Anolis sagrei: one gene and its partner. The protein of the gene in region 2 interacts with the protein of the main gene of each other region in a pairwise test. Links are inferred from orthologs where the notes say so. Each region holds a gene or a part of one and is shown on either strand. Other genes may lie near its edges.

Region 1 (6,968 bases), on a different chromosome or scaffold from region 2:
CTATGGCATCTTTCTGCAGAAATTTGCTTTTACGCCATATTTCTACAGCAGAACCATTTGGACTTCTGAGTTTCCCCAGCGCTTCCAAGAGATGGAGAAGAAGTAGTAGTTGCTGAAGCCAACATTTCTGGTCCTTTGGCAAAGGTTTATAATCAAAGGGATGCTGCTACTAGATAGGACTTATACAGAAACAAAGAAAGGAATAGCTAGTACATTTTGCCTGCGTCGGTTGTGGCATGTTGAGAGAACTGTGACAACTATCTCAATCCTGTGCAGAGCTTAAAAGGTACTTTTTGGCATATCTCTCAGACCCAGCTACCCAGCTCCAACCAGTTCAAAAATGATGTTTTTCAAGCTCTGATCCAATGCTGTATGGTTACATTGAGAGTCCATTCCTCTGTGTTGATGAAGATTTGCTCAGAAGGATATGCGGCTGAGGACATCAAGTCAGAAATACAAAACAATTCAGTTTTGCACTGATGATAATATGAGAGTTGCCATCTTGGGGAAAGTAACAAGAAAAAGATGTGATTATAAAACTGTATGTGCCATTGATTGTGCCGATACCAAAAAGCTCCCATTTAAGGCCAGCCATTTCTTTACATGATTTGTTCTTTCCTTGTACGTTGGCTTCACTTGTGAAACTGGGAAAAGCCTGTCTTGGGCCAAAAGTTTCCCCTACATTCCTATACTGCTTGCTGTGCGCTTTAGAAATAAAGGGAGCTCCGGGATTTCATCAGAGGCCCCTTCTACACAACTGAATAAAATCCCACATTATCTGCTTTGAACTGGGATATATGGCAACGTGGTCTCAGATATTCAAGTACAAAGCAGATATTGTGGGTTATTCTGCCTTGATATTCTGGGTTATAATGCTATGTGGAAGGGCCCAGAGAAGTTTGGGCAAACCACAGGCTACACTTTGTAGACTAAGGAACCCTTCCACACAGCCCTATATCCCAGAATATCAAAGCAGAAAATTCCACATTCTCTGAATGTGGACTCAGATAACCCAGTTAAAGGCAGATATTGTGGGATTTTCTACCTTGATATTCTAGGATATATGGCTGTGTGGAAGGACCCTAAGTGGGTGGCCTCCAGCAATCCTGCATTTAACAACAACAACAACTTTATTTTTGTACCCTGCCTCCATCTCCCTGAAGGGACTTGGGCCGGCTTACATATGGCACAATGTGTCTAAAACAACACATAAAATAAACATAATAAAACCAAAAACACATAAAACAATAATTTTGATTAATTATTTTGATCTGTAAAATGGGAATAATTGTGTGTTTGCACGTGCATGTATGTGTGCATGCATGCCTTCAAGTAGCCTGTCAGATTCCCTATCTTAAAGCATTTCCGTGACAGTAGCTAAACGAAAATGTCCAGTTATTTGTTCATAGTAGAAGAAGATATGAATCATGAAGAAAGAAATTCCTCACAAATAGATCAGAGTCAATCTCAAAATATACTTCTGCAATAAACAACCAAGACACTTCCTATACTCATTCAATCACTCTCTCTTCATCTCCCTCTATTTCTCTCTGTGTATGTTGTAAAATTTGGCCTTTGGGGGACAGAGATTGAGTGCCCAAGGCCGCATAATCAGGGAAAGGAATGCAGTTATCTCATTACCTCTCCTCCCTCTCGTGTCTCCTCTTCTTCTATAATTTACAGCACCAGTGATTGTAACAGACAAAATAACAGTATACACTAAACTGCATTTTTAGTACACCAATTTGACAGGCCTGGTCTAGCCTTTTCAACGATGGATCTTACAAGCTACTTCATCACACTAGAGAACAAATCCACTTTAAGGGCCCTTCTCCACAGCCCTATATCTCAGAATATCAAGGCAGAAAAATCCCACATTTTCTGCTTTGAACTGGGATATATGGCAAGGTGGCCTCAGATAACCCAGTTCAGAGCAGATCTTGTAGGATTTTCTACCTTGATATTCTAGAATATAGAGCTGTGTGGAAGGGTCCTAAATCCAATTTCTGCCTCTTACAGAAGGAGGAGCCTAAACTCACTGACCTACAAACCCCAGAATTATATGGGAGGCAAAAACTGGATTTAAAGTGGATTCATTCTATTGTGATGAAGTCCAAGGAGAGAACACAAAGGATGCTGCACCACTTCGAAAATCAAAACTTATTCCCCCTGCCCCATACAAAGAAACAGTGGGAGAAAAGAAGTGTCCCTGTTGGAAGCAATTCATCTTTTAGAGTAGTTTCAATTTGCTGCAGATCTACATAAGAATAGAGGACTACCAACTATCTTAACCAAAGAAGATTGGAACTCAGGTTGCCAGACCTAAAAACGTTAACAGATTGATAGGAAGCATCTTTTCTGTCCCAGCTTATAACAACTGTTATATGTTTTGCCAATCATATCCAGGTGTCTCAAGATCACTCCCATACTGGACCATTAAAAGTCCTGTGAGTGAATAACACTGTTTTCTTGTTCACTGAATGAGACCTTCCCAAACTTTGCATCCAGGCAGAGCTTTCCTATTTTAACAGGACCTTTAAAACATGACAATCTTCTTCGTAAAGTTCAAAGTTACATAGAGCCATGCAGGAAGAAACCCAATGATTCCTCTCAAGTCACGAAATGGGTTCACCTGTCCCTTTCTATTTGTATGGGACTTGTCCATGAAATGGGGTTTCCACAGAATCCCAAAACAAAGCAAAACAAACCAGACAAAGCTCAGGACTTACCCCCTGCTAACTATCAACCGCAAGGCATCCAAGTTGCCATGATAGGCAGCCCATAGGGTTGGGGTCATGCCATCCTCGTCGGGGGAGTTGAGGTCCTTCTTGGTGGCCTCTTTTAGCAGATCAAGGTAGCCATCCCTGGCTGCTCGGTGGTAGTGGTCATTCATGATGAGGCAGCCTTATTCCCTAGCCATAGCATTGGGAAGGAAAGTGGGGACAGTCGTAAAAGAAGGGGCATTGAGTTGGATGAACGACTTCCAAAGAAGCAGCTGCCGGAAGAGGAAAGAGGGAGATGTGTTACTAGGACACCTGAGAGTCCCTGGCCAGTGAGGGAAGGAACTCCTCATATTGAATGCATGAGGTTATTTTCTGTGGCTTCCCCTGGGTCCTAAGGATTCCTCTCTTCACCCTGGTATTTGTTTACTTCTCCTCAGCAAACCCAAGTAAAATTAGTTGGGTTTTTTTTTTTTTTTTTGCCTGCACTTCCTAAAAGTGGACAATAGACCATATTATCTTTTCATGCTGTTAGAAGATGTCTAAAGCTAACTCGGGGTTTCTTTTAAGTATTTTTTTTCTTGTACTTGGTCTCCTTCAAATCTTGAACATCAGCATTTTGAAGATTTTTGACTTCCCAAATTTTCTTTTGAAACTCTGACCTTCATCCAGTATTTTTATATAGAGTTTCCACGTAAAGGCTGTCTCAGGCCCTTGAATTTCAGGGCAAAATCTGAGCTAAGGAATAAGATTTGCATTGCTCCTCAGTGAATATTGGACTACTGAGCACATGCGTGTGGACACTGAAATTTACAGACACAAGCACGTGGACAGCATTCTTTGCATAGGCATCATAAAATGTAGGCTCCCATGTGTACTGTCTCTGGGTACAAAATATTAGGTAGGAGCTTAATATTTAAAGAGCCGTTAATGTATATCTAATTTTCTGTGCTGGTCAATGACCAAAATAAATGATTTGATTTGATTTGATATATCTAATTTATGCGTGTGCTGTATTTGGAAATTTGTATTGTTTGGGGAACCCTCCAAGAATTTGATTCCCAGTGAATGCTTGATGAAAACAAAACATATTCCTGTAGATTGAATATGGAGGTAGAGGGGTCCGTTATCTAAGGGCACACACATTTTTTTAAAAATGGCATGCAAAATGGCTCTTTGGCCTGTTTCACATGTTACCTTTGGGACTGCTATGTGTTCCTGGCTTCACTGAATGCCACATTGTCAGGAGTATTTGTATTAGGCCTCTGATTTCAAACAACTACTTGCTGTCTTCACACTTTACACACACATATTCAAAAGTCTTCGGTTGATCCCTAAAACATGAATGTTTGGACTAATGTCTGAACTGGATCTCTAACAGTAGCAGAGCAGCTGACCAACAACTCCCTCTTTTCTGGTTTCTTGAAAATACCTGAGTCTCTGGCGCCACCTAGTGTTCAGACTCTGACACTCACATTTCTAGAAATATTTGCGCGAAGGGAATACTTGAAAATATTCCAAAAAACAAAGGAAAACTTGATTTTTGCAATTTTATATAAGGGACAGCATTTTCCTATGCTATTCTATACAGGCAATCCCCAAGTTACGAATAAGATAGGTTCTGTAGATTTGTTCTTCAGTTGAATTTGTATGTGAACAGAAACGTTTTTTAAGTGTAACTCCAGCCATATATACATAGGAGCCCCCAGTGGTGGGGTGGGTTAAACTGCCGAGCTGCTGAACTTGCTGATCGAAAGGTCACAGTTTCGAATCCTGGGAGCAGCATGAGCTCCCAGTGTTAGCCCCAGCTTTTGCCAACCCAGCAGTTCGAAAACATGCAAATGTGAGTAGATCAATGTGAGTACCTCCAGCAGGAAGGTAAAGGTGCTCCATGTAGTCATGGCATCCACATGACCTTGGAGGTGTCACTAGACAACTTCGGCTTTTTAGCTTAGAAATGGAGATGAACACCAACCCCCAGAGTCGGACTCTACTAGACTTAATGTCAGGGGAAAACCTTTACCTTTACTATATATAACAACACATACAAACACATAGACAAGCACACATACATACATACATAACATAGCATAGGGATAGAGAAATGTTAACACTCCTGTGGGGCTTGTTTTGCTTATCAGTGTCCCTGTTCAGAAGATTTCACCTCACTTTCTGTCTCTGTGAGAATTGGGTTTTGAAAAATTTGGCTTGTTGTGAAAACAAGGGTTGGTGAAAAAGCTGCAGCTGAAACTCCTTTTCCCCAATATAACTCTTTCAGTAGTGGATTTCCCTCTTGATGAGTAGATTTCTCACTTTCTGTTTCCTCAACCCGGTTCTTAACTATGAGTCATTTGTCAGTCAGATGTTTCTAACTCAGGGACCGCCTTTATAGTGGTTCTTAAGCATCCACTGATTTGGGTAGGGTGGTCATGGAATCAAACTCCATCAGATACCAAGGGTCCAGTGTATTTGCTTCCTATCCAAGTTAACCATAGTATTGTGGGAATGGGCCCCACTTCCGATAAGGATAAGTTTTCAGTTATTTCAGTGCTCACCCAGGTTTCTAGTTCCGTGGGAGGATTTCGCAGGAGACGTGTGATGTCTTTTGTGACATAAAATTGGTTTACATGTATACTAGAGATTGTACCTTCAGATTCCAGGTCTCCATCAGATTTCTAGAAACCATTGGAGCTCAGAATTTCTTATGGCAAGCCAACTCTGACATAGACATATTTTCTATTTGATGCACAGACCTCACTCTGTTATTCCTACTACACATATACAAATCACTCACTCCTCACTTTGTTTAATTGGAGAGAGCTAATATAAGGGTTTGCACATTGAAGACCCAGGTTTGATCCTAGGCGTATCATACTCTCTCAACCTTAAAGGAATGCAAAAGGAACCCCCTGAATAAATTTTGCCCAGAAAATACTGTGTTAGGGTTGCCATAAGTCAAAAATAGCTAGAGGTCATACAATAGTAAAGGAAATGAAACTTCTCCACCCATCACTTAAATTTCATGGACCTTTCACTGGAATGCTATTGACTACCAATCATCCTTGAGTTGGTTGCTTGATATTTTGCTGATAATATAATAAATCTATAATACAAAACTTTACTTTTTATCTCACCCTATCTCCCTGAGGGAAATCTTACAAATGACAAAGTTGGAAAGGCTTGAATAGTTGGAAAGGCTTCCTTGAAAACTGAGGACTTTAGGCATCATGACCACTATGAGAAATGGCAGCATTAAAAAAAGAAAACGAGAAAAGAAGAAATCAGACAAATAGAGGAACTTGATTTTTATCTCTGCTGTTTTAATGATCTATTTCCAGTGCTCTTTATGGGCACTTCCTTCCTAAGAGGAACACAATGTCCCTGTCAACCATGACATTTAAACTTCTTCAAAATTATAATCAACATTCCCTTGAAGGCAAAAAAAATGGAATTTGCCTTTTAAATTTGCCTCTGCAGCTGTGGCTTTGCAGGCTTGCTCCACAGTCAGTAGCTGGTGGAAATGATCTGCATTACAGTAAAAAAGCTTCAGTTGCTGAGATCAGCCTATCAAGCTAATGCTAAATGGACAGGAGCAAGATAGGCTAAAGTAGACCTGGACTACAAAAGCTTATGTTGCCACTTTAGTCTCTTCAGTGAGTTTACAAGGTGCTACAAAATGCTCTTGCATAGTGATATTCCAGACTGACACAGCAATGTCTTTGAATTCCTCCTCTCGCTCCACACATTTAACATTTTCCCATCTCCCAGAGGCAAACCCTTTGCAATTAAGTGCTTATGGATTAAACTGAAGTGTATTTCATTTCATTTCAAATATATCCTGCCTTTTCTTCAATGGTTCCTCCTATCATCAACCTCCATTTTCAAACTGGATCTCCCTACCTTAGCCTGGTACTCCAGCCATTATGTATCACTGCCTTTCCGTGGAGCAAAACTGTCTTTCCTTCACAATTTTGCATCAAAACCTGACTGCAACCCTTACATTGACCCCACAGGTCTTGCAGCTGATAGGATGGGTAGGTAGATGATCTTCCAGGTGGTATCATAAGGACAGGAACAACCCAAGACAGTTTTCAGTCTGAGTCAAAGGACAAAATGCTGTGTTTCTTCTCCTGCATATCCAAAAGTTGTCTGGACAGTCAGTTGAATTTTAATTCAGCACCAGTGATGGATTAGTGTCTTCAACTACATTTGAGGTAGCAGTTGTTGTGGTGGTTGTTATTGTTAATT
Region 2 (7,983 bases):
CTGACCCAGGCTAATTTAAGGCATTGCTAGCTCCATTGACTGATGTTTCTAGTTACTTTGGGCAACAAATGACCTAGTTTTAATTCTGTTTTGTCTGAGATACCAGGCTGTCTAATTACTTAGAAATGTATTTGCAGGTGATACAACTCAGTTTGAGTTGTCTTGAGTTTTTTCACTTTGAGATTTTAATGAAAACAGAGGACTAATCATGCAGATTCAATCACTATTTAATGTGTTACTTTACTGATGCTACAGCTTTTATTTATTTGTTTATAAAAATTGTACCCCAACTTTCTCTTAAAGTGAGATACAAAATGGCTTATCTTCAGTGCTGTTTAATATTAATTTAGTCCTAGTAGCTTCCTAGCATCAAGAAGCCAATAAAGCAAGATTTTGAATAGTTTTTTTTCCCTTTGAAGAGCCAGCTTTTTCCATTTATTGGGACTGTGGGGAGAATAGAAGTCTATGTGAATCTTATCAGCATAAAAGGCCACAGGTACAAGGTACAAGACCATAAATATTACGTTAGATACATATGCCAGCTGTCTGTCTGCTGTTGCCCATCCCAATGTTGATAGTTAACAGGTATAAATGTTATAATCATACAACTATGCCCAGTTTTTATTAGAATCATAGCATTGGAAGAGACCTCGTTGGCCATCCAGTCCAACCTGCTGCCAAGAAGCAGAAAAATTGCATTCATAGCAATATTAGTTTTAAAATTGGTGAAAACTAGCTTAATAGTCTTAATATCTATTTTTACAACAGCTTTTCCCTTTCAAGGAATTTTCAGAAATTTGTCTTTAATATTTGATAAGTTTCAGTCTAAGTTATAGAAGACTTAAAGATTAGTGTAACTTTTATCTGTTGTGTTAGAGAGGTCCAATCTAAAAACCAGAATGGAACTCCACTGAACGCAATTAAATGGGGGAAATAAAGATCAAGATTCCAAAGAAGAGGAGACACCAAAATCCAGTTTACCAAAACCAAAGTAATCTAAACACACCTTCAGGATAAAATTCTGTTGATTAATTTTTGTAAATGATCAAATAAACATTGTATAACAGCAACAATGGGGTTATATGGATGGTCTTCATACATTATATGAAGAATGAGGCACAAATATCTGAAGACTCAGCATGGTGGAATGGTTTGAGCATTGGACTACAACCCTGGAGATCAGAGTTCAAATTCTGAGTCACCTATGGAAACCACACTGGGTTTTTTTAATGTCAGGAGCAAATCGAGCCCCCGGAGGCGTAATGGGTTACACCTCCAGCTGGCAGGACTGCTGACCTAAAGGTCAGCGGTTCGAATCCAGGGAGTGGGTTGAGCTCCTGTCTGTGAGCTCCAGCTTCTCATGCGGGAACATGAGAGAAGCCTCCCACAGGATGTTAAAACATCTGGGTGACCACATTGGGTGACTTTGAGGAAGTCACTCTCTCTCAGCCTCAGAGGCAGGCAAAAACAAGCCCTCTCTGAACAAATATTTCAAAGGAACCCCCCCCTCCCATAGGTTAGTCTTGGGGGCACCATAATCCAGGAAGGACCTGTTACACAACAACAACAACAACAACAACAACAACAGGTATTAGATCATTTTTTATAAGGTATACAAGCCTGGAAAACCTGTAGGAGGTGTGCAGACAAATGTTGATCGGTTTTGCATATTCAAACAAGCTGGAACAGCCTTCCACACTCAACAACTTTTATCTCTGATGTGAAACCGAAAAGGGAGCTTTTTGTAAATGAAACCCATTATTAATGCACCACTGACTGAACCTCTGAAAGACAGTTTCCATTTGACTTTGCGGCACTGATAAAAAGAAATAGGTTCAAACCATGTTGCAAGAATATGCCTGTATCATACCCTTGAGTCCAAACTTCCTCATCTCACCCTGTTGACTTGCAACTCTTAGATTCACTTCTTTTAAAAACAAAAACAAAAGAACTATTATATAATAGAAGCTTCTTTGCAACGTCCCTTGGTCCCTGACAGAGAGAGAGAGAGAAAGAGGAAAGGAGGGATAGTGTTTATTTTGGTTTTTGAGTCCCCTGGGGGAGAGAAAGCGGGCTATAAATGAATTATTATTATTATTTGAAACACAAGATGAGTCCACAGCAAACAAAATCATTCTGTGGGCTGCTGTATTGGATCACATGTCAGACACTTCCCAAGTGTCTAGGACTGTGTGATGTATCGGCGAATAATGTGTGCAGATCCCAGTAGGGTAGCAGATGGTAATTTTGCCAGTGTCAATTGTGTTTAAGTGCAGGCCGAGGTCTTTAGGCACTGCACCTAGTGTGCCGATCACCACTGGGACCACCTTTATCGGTTTGTGCCAGAGTCTTTGCAGTTCAATCTTTAAATCCTCATTATTATTGTTGTTATTGTTATTAAATTTTCTTTTTTGTATACAATTGCTCACAGGGAACATTATTTTTGAGGGAGCAAACTTTCCCAAAAGTTCCAAAACTTTGAAGTTTGCTTCTTCCTTTTCTCTGCTTGGCGCTCAGGTGGAATCCAGGTGCCCTTTAAGAGAAAGTGGACCCGAATTCCCACCTGCCCGGGGGAAAAAAGAAAAGAAAAGATGGGTGGATGGGTGGGTGGCAAGAGTGAGGCCAATGCCTCCCTCGGAGGTGCGCCTCGCCGCCTGACCTGCCGGGGAGAAGCGCTTCCTTCCCTGCCCCCTCCCCCCTCCCCCCTCCCCCTCCCCCCCGCAAAGGCCGAGTTAATTGATACCCAGAGTCCAGAGTCCCGCAAAATGTCCCCCGCGCAGCCGACCCAGAGCTAGAGAAAGTGACTCCAAGCTGAGGAGCCAAAGCCGCGGGGGTCCCTTGGCAGGCAAGAAGCAAGCAAGCGGGGAAAGGCGAGGGCGGCCCTCTTCTTTCTTACCTTGTGCCTGAACTCCCTGGCCACCTTGCGCTCCATGGCAATGAATGGGGGAGAGCGAGAGCGACTGCCTCTGAGCTCTTCGCCTTGGCCAGCCTGCGCGCCTGCCTTCCTTCCCTTCCTTCCTTCCTTCCTTTCTCGGCTCAGGTCGGGCGCGCAGAGCTCGGAGTCACCGCCAGAGGGCGCAGCGCAGGGAGGAAGGCAAGGAAAGGGGAGGCAAGGCAAGAGGTTGGGTTCCTTGCAGGGCGGGCTGGCCAGGTGTCACCTTCCCTGTGATAGGAGTCCCCGGTGGTCCAAGAAAGGGCTCAAGGCTGTGAGGAATTGTGGGAATTGAAGTCCAAAACACCAGGAGGGCCTAAATTTGCCCATGCCTGTTGTAGATGCTGGTACACAGACAAATACACACATGGGAGCCAGGCTTCAGCCCCCCCCCCCCGAAATTCTCATGGTGGTCCGTGAGAAGGCCTTACTGGTGCATTATTTAAACTGTTATGTTTATTCATATCATGATCTGATCACCATGCTCAATATATCCCATATGCATGGAGGTATTGGGGTAACGAAACAAAAGGTTTGCTAGGCTAGACCCTCTTTCACTCAGACTCAGCCCCCCCCCCCCCCCCCCCGAATCAAAATCCTGGCTACCGGCCTGATGGGAGCAGTGGTGCACTGGGTCTAAAATATTGGTTACCAGGAGAGCAGTCCCAAAACTATAAGGCTATCATTGAATATATGGCTATCAATGAATGATTTTTTTAAATACATCAGTGGAAAAAAGGTACAATTAAACTTTGCGAAATAAATGTATATTTTTAGTAATTACAGTGCACATAATCCAGTGGATACTTAATGTATATGCCGGATTGTTATATTAAATTTTTAATAATGTTTAATTTGAAATAAATGTTGGATTGTCTCATGTTTAAGGGACCACTTCTCATCATCAGGCAAGCTTTGTGTGCGTGTGTGTGTGTGTGTCAGGAGCGACTGAAGAGGCTGCAAGTCTGGTGTGAGAGAATTGGCTGTCTGCAAGGACGTTGCCCAGGGGACTCCTGGATGTTTTATCATCCTTGATAAAACTTCCACATGATTAAAAACTCAAATATAACAATCTGCATTTACATTAAGTATCTACTGGATTGTGTGCCCTGTAATTATTATTATTTTTGGTCGTGTCAGGAGTGACTTGAGAAACTGCAAGTTGCTTCTGGTGTGAGAGAATTGGCCATCTGCAAGGACGTTGCCCAGGGGACGCCCGGATGTTTTGATGTGTTACCATCCTTATGGGAGGCTTCTCTCATGTCCCCATATGAGGAGATGGAGCTGACAGAGGGAGCTCATCTACGCTCTCCCCGGATTCAAACCTGTGACCTGTTGGTCTTCAGTCCTGCCGGCACAGGGGTTTAACCCACTGTGCCACTGGGGGTCCACTGTAATTATTAAAAATATACTGTAATTATTAAAAATATACGTTTATTTTGCATAATTTTACTTGTGCCTTTTTCCCATTGAAGTATTTTTTTAAAAATCCATTCATGGATGACTATGTTTAAACCAAGAGTGGGGATGCTATATGACACTTTACATGACCAAGTATACCTAAAAAGAAAATGGAAACAATACACTGAAGAACTATATAAAAGAGATGAAAGGATAGCAGGTTCATTCAAGAAAAAATGATTAGAAAATTAAGTGGAAGCTGCAGTAAGAGTACTTGGGAGAAATAAATCATCAGGAACAGGTAGCATATCAACAGAGCCCACATACTGGAAATAATCAAAATGATTTACAATTTTCAAGAAAGGGGAAACCAATGATTGCAGTAACCATTTCATAGATTGTAAAAAAAAAAGCCTTTGGGGGGTATATGTGTATTCTTTATTATTATCATTATTTTTAATTGCATAATTGTATTTTTAAAAATTAATTTGTCCAGGTGAAAGATACAGATCTGGTGAAAACAACAACAACAAAAACCCACTTCAGGATCTAATTGTGATAACTCCATTTGCTGTATCTTTCTGCATTGTTTTCTTAATTTTTATATCATTTAAAATGATTCTATACTTTTTAAAGTTAGTGATGTTTTGATATGGTACCTTATTTAATTGTTTTTATGGTTTTAGTTTGTTTTACCCTTCCTTTAAATTGCCTAGTCCCAAGTTAGAAGTATTTTTGAATGATGATGATGATGATGATGATGATGATGATGATGATGATGGAAGTTCACAATTCATTGTCATGTGAAGACTATAAAATATATCACCTTCATTGCACTGGCTGTCTATTTGCTTCTGAACTCAGTTTAAGATATTATTATTATTAATAATAATAATAATCTTTCTTTATAACCTGCCACAGTTTCCCCAAGGGGACTCGGAGTGGCTTACAAAGGTACTCCAAGGTGCAGCATATAACATAAATGGTATATGACTATAAGACACTCGCTGGAACGCCTCAGCAAGCGAGAGTCCAAAAGTGGCAGGCTCAAACCTAGAACCTCAACCAACGGCTGATACCAAATGAGAGATTCCCCCCTGGGTACACAGAGGACTGGGCGACTTGGAAGGCGCTGAACAGACTGCGCTCTGGCACCAGGAGATGCAGAGCCAACCTTCAGAAATGGGGCTACAAAGTGGAATCCTCGACATGCGAGTGCGGAGAGGAGCAAACCACAGACCACCTGCTGCAATGCAACCTGAGCCCTGCCACATGCACAATGGAGGACCTCCTTGCAACAACACCAGAAGCACTCCAAGTGGCCAGATACTGGTCAAAGGACATTTAATCAACTACCAAACTCACACATTTTGTATTTTCTCTATTTGTTTGCTTTGTTCTGTTAGAAATGTAATATAATTGACTGGCTGCCCTGACACGAGAAATAAAACTATAAAGCAATATCACATAGAAATTATAAAACAACCACCACAAAAGATTAGGACCAGAGATAACAGTGAAGTTGAAGTGGGAGAAATTCAGGACAGATAAAAGCTTTTTTAAAAACCCCGATTATATTCATAATATACATATGTATATCATTCATTCAACTATTTCCCCCACAAATATTAAACAAGTAAAATACCCTAAAATACATAAAACATATAAATAAGAATTCATAAACTTATTTTCCTCACGAATATTATAATCAAATATATTCCTCTATACAACTAAAGAACGATAAAACAAATCGTACAATAGAATATTATCCTCATGAATATTAAGCAAGAATTATCTATTACATAGCACATATGATTCTGAGTACAGTTTGAGTCTCCATTGCAGTATCTCCAAATCAGTCTTGCCAAAAACCAGCAGGCAACTATCATATATGTCTATGCACCAAAACCAGATGCCAGCAAAGACATCAAAGAACAATTCTGCTGTCAGCGGGATATCATCCTATGAGACATACCTAAGGAGAAGAAAATAACCCATTTTCCATACGAATATTAACAACTAATACAGTTTATACTTCAACTGGCAGCAATCTTTCTAGAACTGGCCTGTCAGATTGTTATTCAACATCCTTTGAGAAACCACCAACCCACCCACCAGTGCACTACATTACTAGCTTCACGCCCATCAATTGAGGTTGCATCACTCATATAAAGATATAGACCAGAAGACATAGGGAAATCCAACAATATAGAGCACTTTAAAAGAGGATTAGAGATATTCATGGAGAATAAGGCTAACAAAGGTCACAATCGATATATTACAGCCATGACCAGTGGCACTATGATTCTGAGTACAGTTTGAGTCTCCATTGCAATATCTCCAAATCAGTCTTGCCAAAAACCAGCAGGCAACTATCATATATGTCTATCCACCAAAACCAGATGCCAGCAAAGACATCAAAGAACAATTCCGCTGTCGGCGGGATATCATCCTATGAGACATACCTAAGGAGAAGAAAATCATCCTCCTGGGTGATTTATACACAAGAGTTGGGCGAGATTTCGGCCTGTGGCCAGGAACTATATGGAAAGCCAGGGTTGGAGCAGTAACCCAAATGACACTTTACTTCTCACTAAATGTGCAGAACACAATTTTATCATCACCGACACACTCTCTCACTGGAAAAACAAGTTTAAAACATCATGGAACACCCCTCTGGAAATATTTCTGCTGATGTTTGAGGTATCTTCCTCAGATTATCCACTATTAGTTAGCCACTCCTGTTCTTTTGGCTGCTGCTCTTTTTCCTTTGCAGGTAATACCTGGAAATCAGGAAAATAATTTCTACCTGATGGGACATGTTATTTAAAAAAATGTAGTTCTTTCATGCTATCTCCTAATGAGCTACTCCTGATATTTTGGCTGCTGCCTTTAGTCTGCATTCAGACTGAATCAAAGCTTAGGTGATTCACAGAGGAAATATTTCCAGGGAGCTAGCAAGGTTAATCTATTATGCTGAGTTCTGTAGTACCAAAAAGACTAATAAATGTGATTCATGGCATAAACTTTCATAGATTTCAGCCAAATGAGATTTAGATAATCAAGCTTTACCGGGAAAAGGAATGCCAATCTGTAACTTCCAAGTTTCTCTTACAATGCAAATGCAATATAATATGTTTGACCTTTTAGGGGGCTACATCAATGTCGGGGGGGGGGGGGGGGAGGGCATGAGAATTTACTCTCTCTTCTAATTTTGATTTTCCCATTAGTATTTACAGCAGAAGAGCATTCTTGATGAGGACGTCATTGCTGTTTCACCATCTTACTGAAGTGAATTACTTGTTATGGCTAGAAATACAATACATGGGCACTAATTACAAAGAGGGGAATGAGATCTTTTTAATTACTTACTGTTAACAGACTTCCTAAAGCAGTTTGAAAAAAGACTCTTTTAATCTGACACTATTTCTCACCTGCCATTGGCAGCTTTTAAAGCTTCTGTTACAAGATAGCTGAAAGATGAAGTGAAAGAGACAGGGGGTCAGGGAGTGAGAGTGAGGGGCAGAAAAGAAGGAAAGGAGATAAATAGGCAGAGGAACAAAAAGAGAGAAGGTTCACACAGAATGAAGGAAAGCAGGAAAGGATAGAGAATTAAGAAGGCCAAAAAGGAACACTGTATAGGGGAAGGA

Evidence for each region.
Region 1: the proteins of USH1C (region 2) and USH1G interact in binary tests that used the Homo sapiens proteins (3 or more experiments, as listed by UniProt). The link is inferred for Anolis sagrei from reciprocal best matches to the Homo sapiens genes USH1C and USH1G.

Annotation. Positions count from the first base shown.
Region 1 is NC_090022.1:116,863,335-116,870,302, forward strand, and holds the start of USH1G (pre-mRNA splicing regulator USH1G), read right to left. Parts: upstream 3,058-6,968; 5' UTR 2,894-3,057; coding exon 2,730-2,893; intron 1-2,729. UniProt on the Homo sapiens protein: Plays a role in pre-mRNA splicing by regulating the release and transfer of U4/U6.U5 tri-small nuclear ribonucleoprotein (tri-snRNP) complexes from their assembly site in Cajal bodies to nuclear speckles, thereby contributing to the assembly of the pre-catalytic spliceosome on target pre-mRNAs.
Region 2 is NC_090021.1:247,950,079-247,958,061, reverse strand, and holds the start of USH1C (harmonin), read right to left. Parts: upstream 3,071-7,983; 5' UTR 2,933-3,070; coding exon 2,897-2,932; intron 1-2,896. UniProt on the Homo sapiens protein: Anchoring/scaffolding protein that is a part of the functional network formed by USH1C, USH1G, CDH23 and MYO7A that mediates mechanotransduction in cochlear hair cells. Required for normal development and maintenance of cochlear hair cell bundles.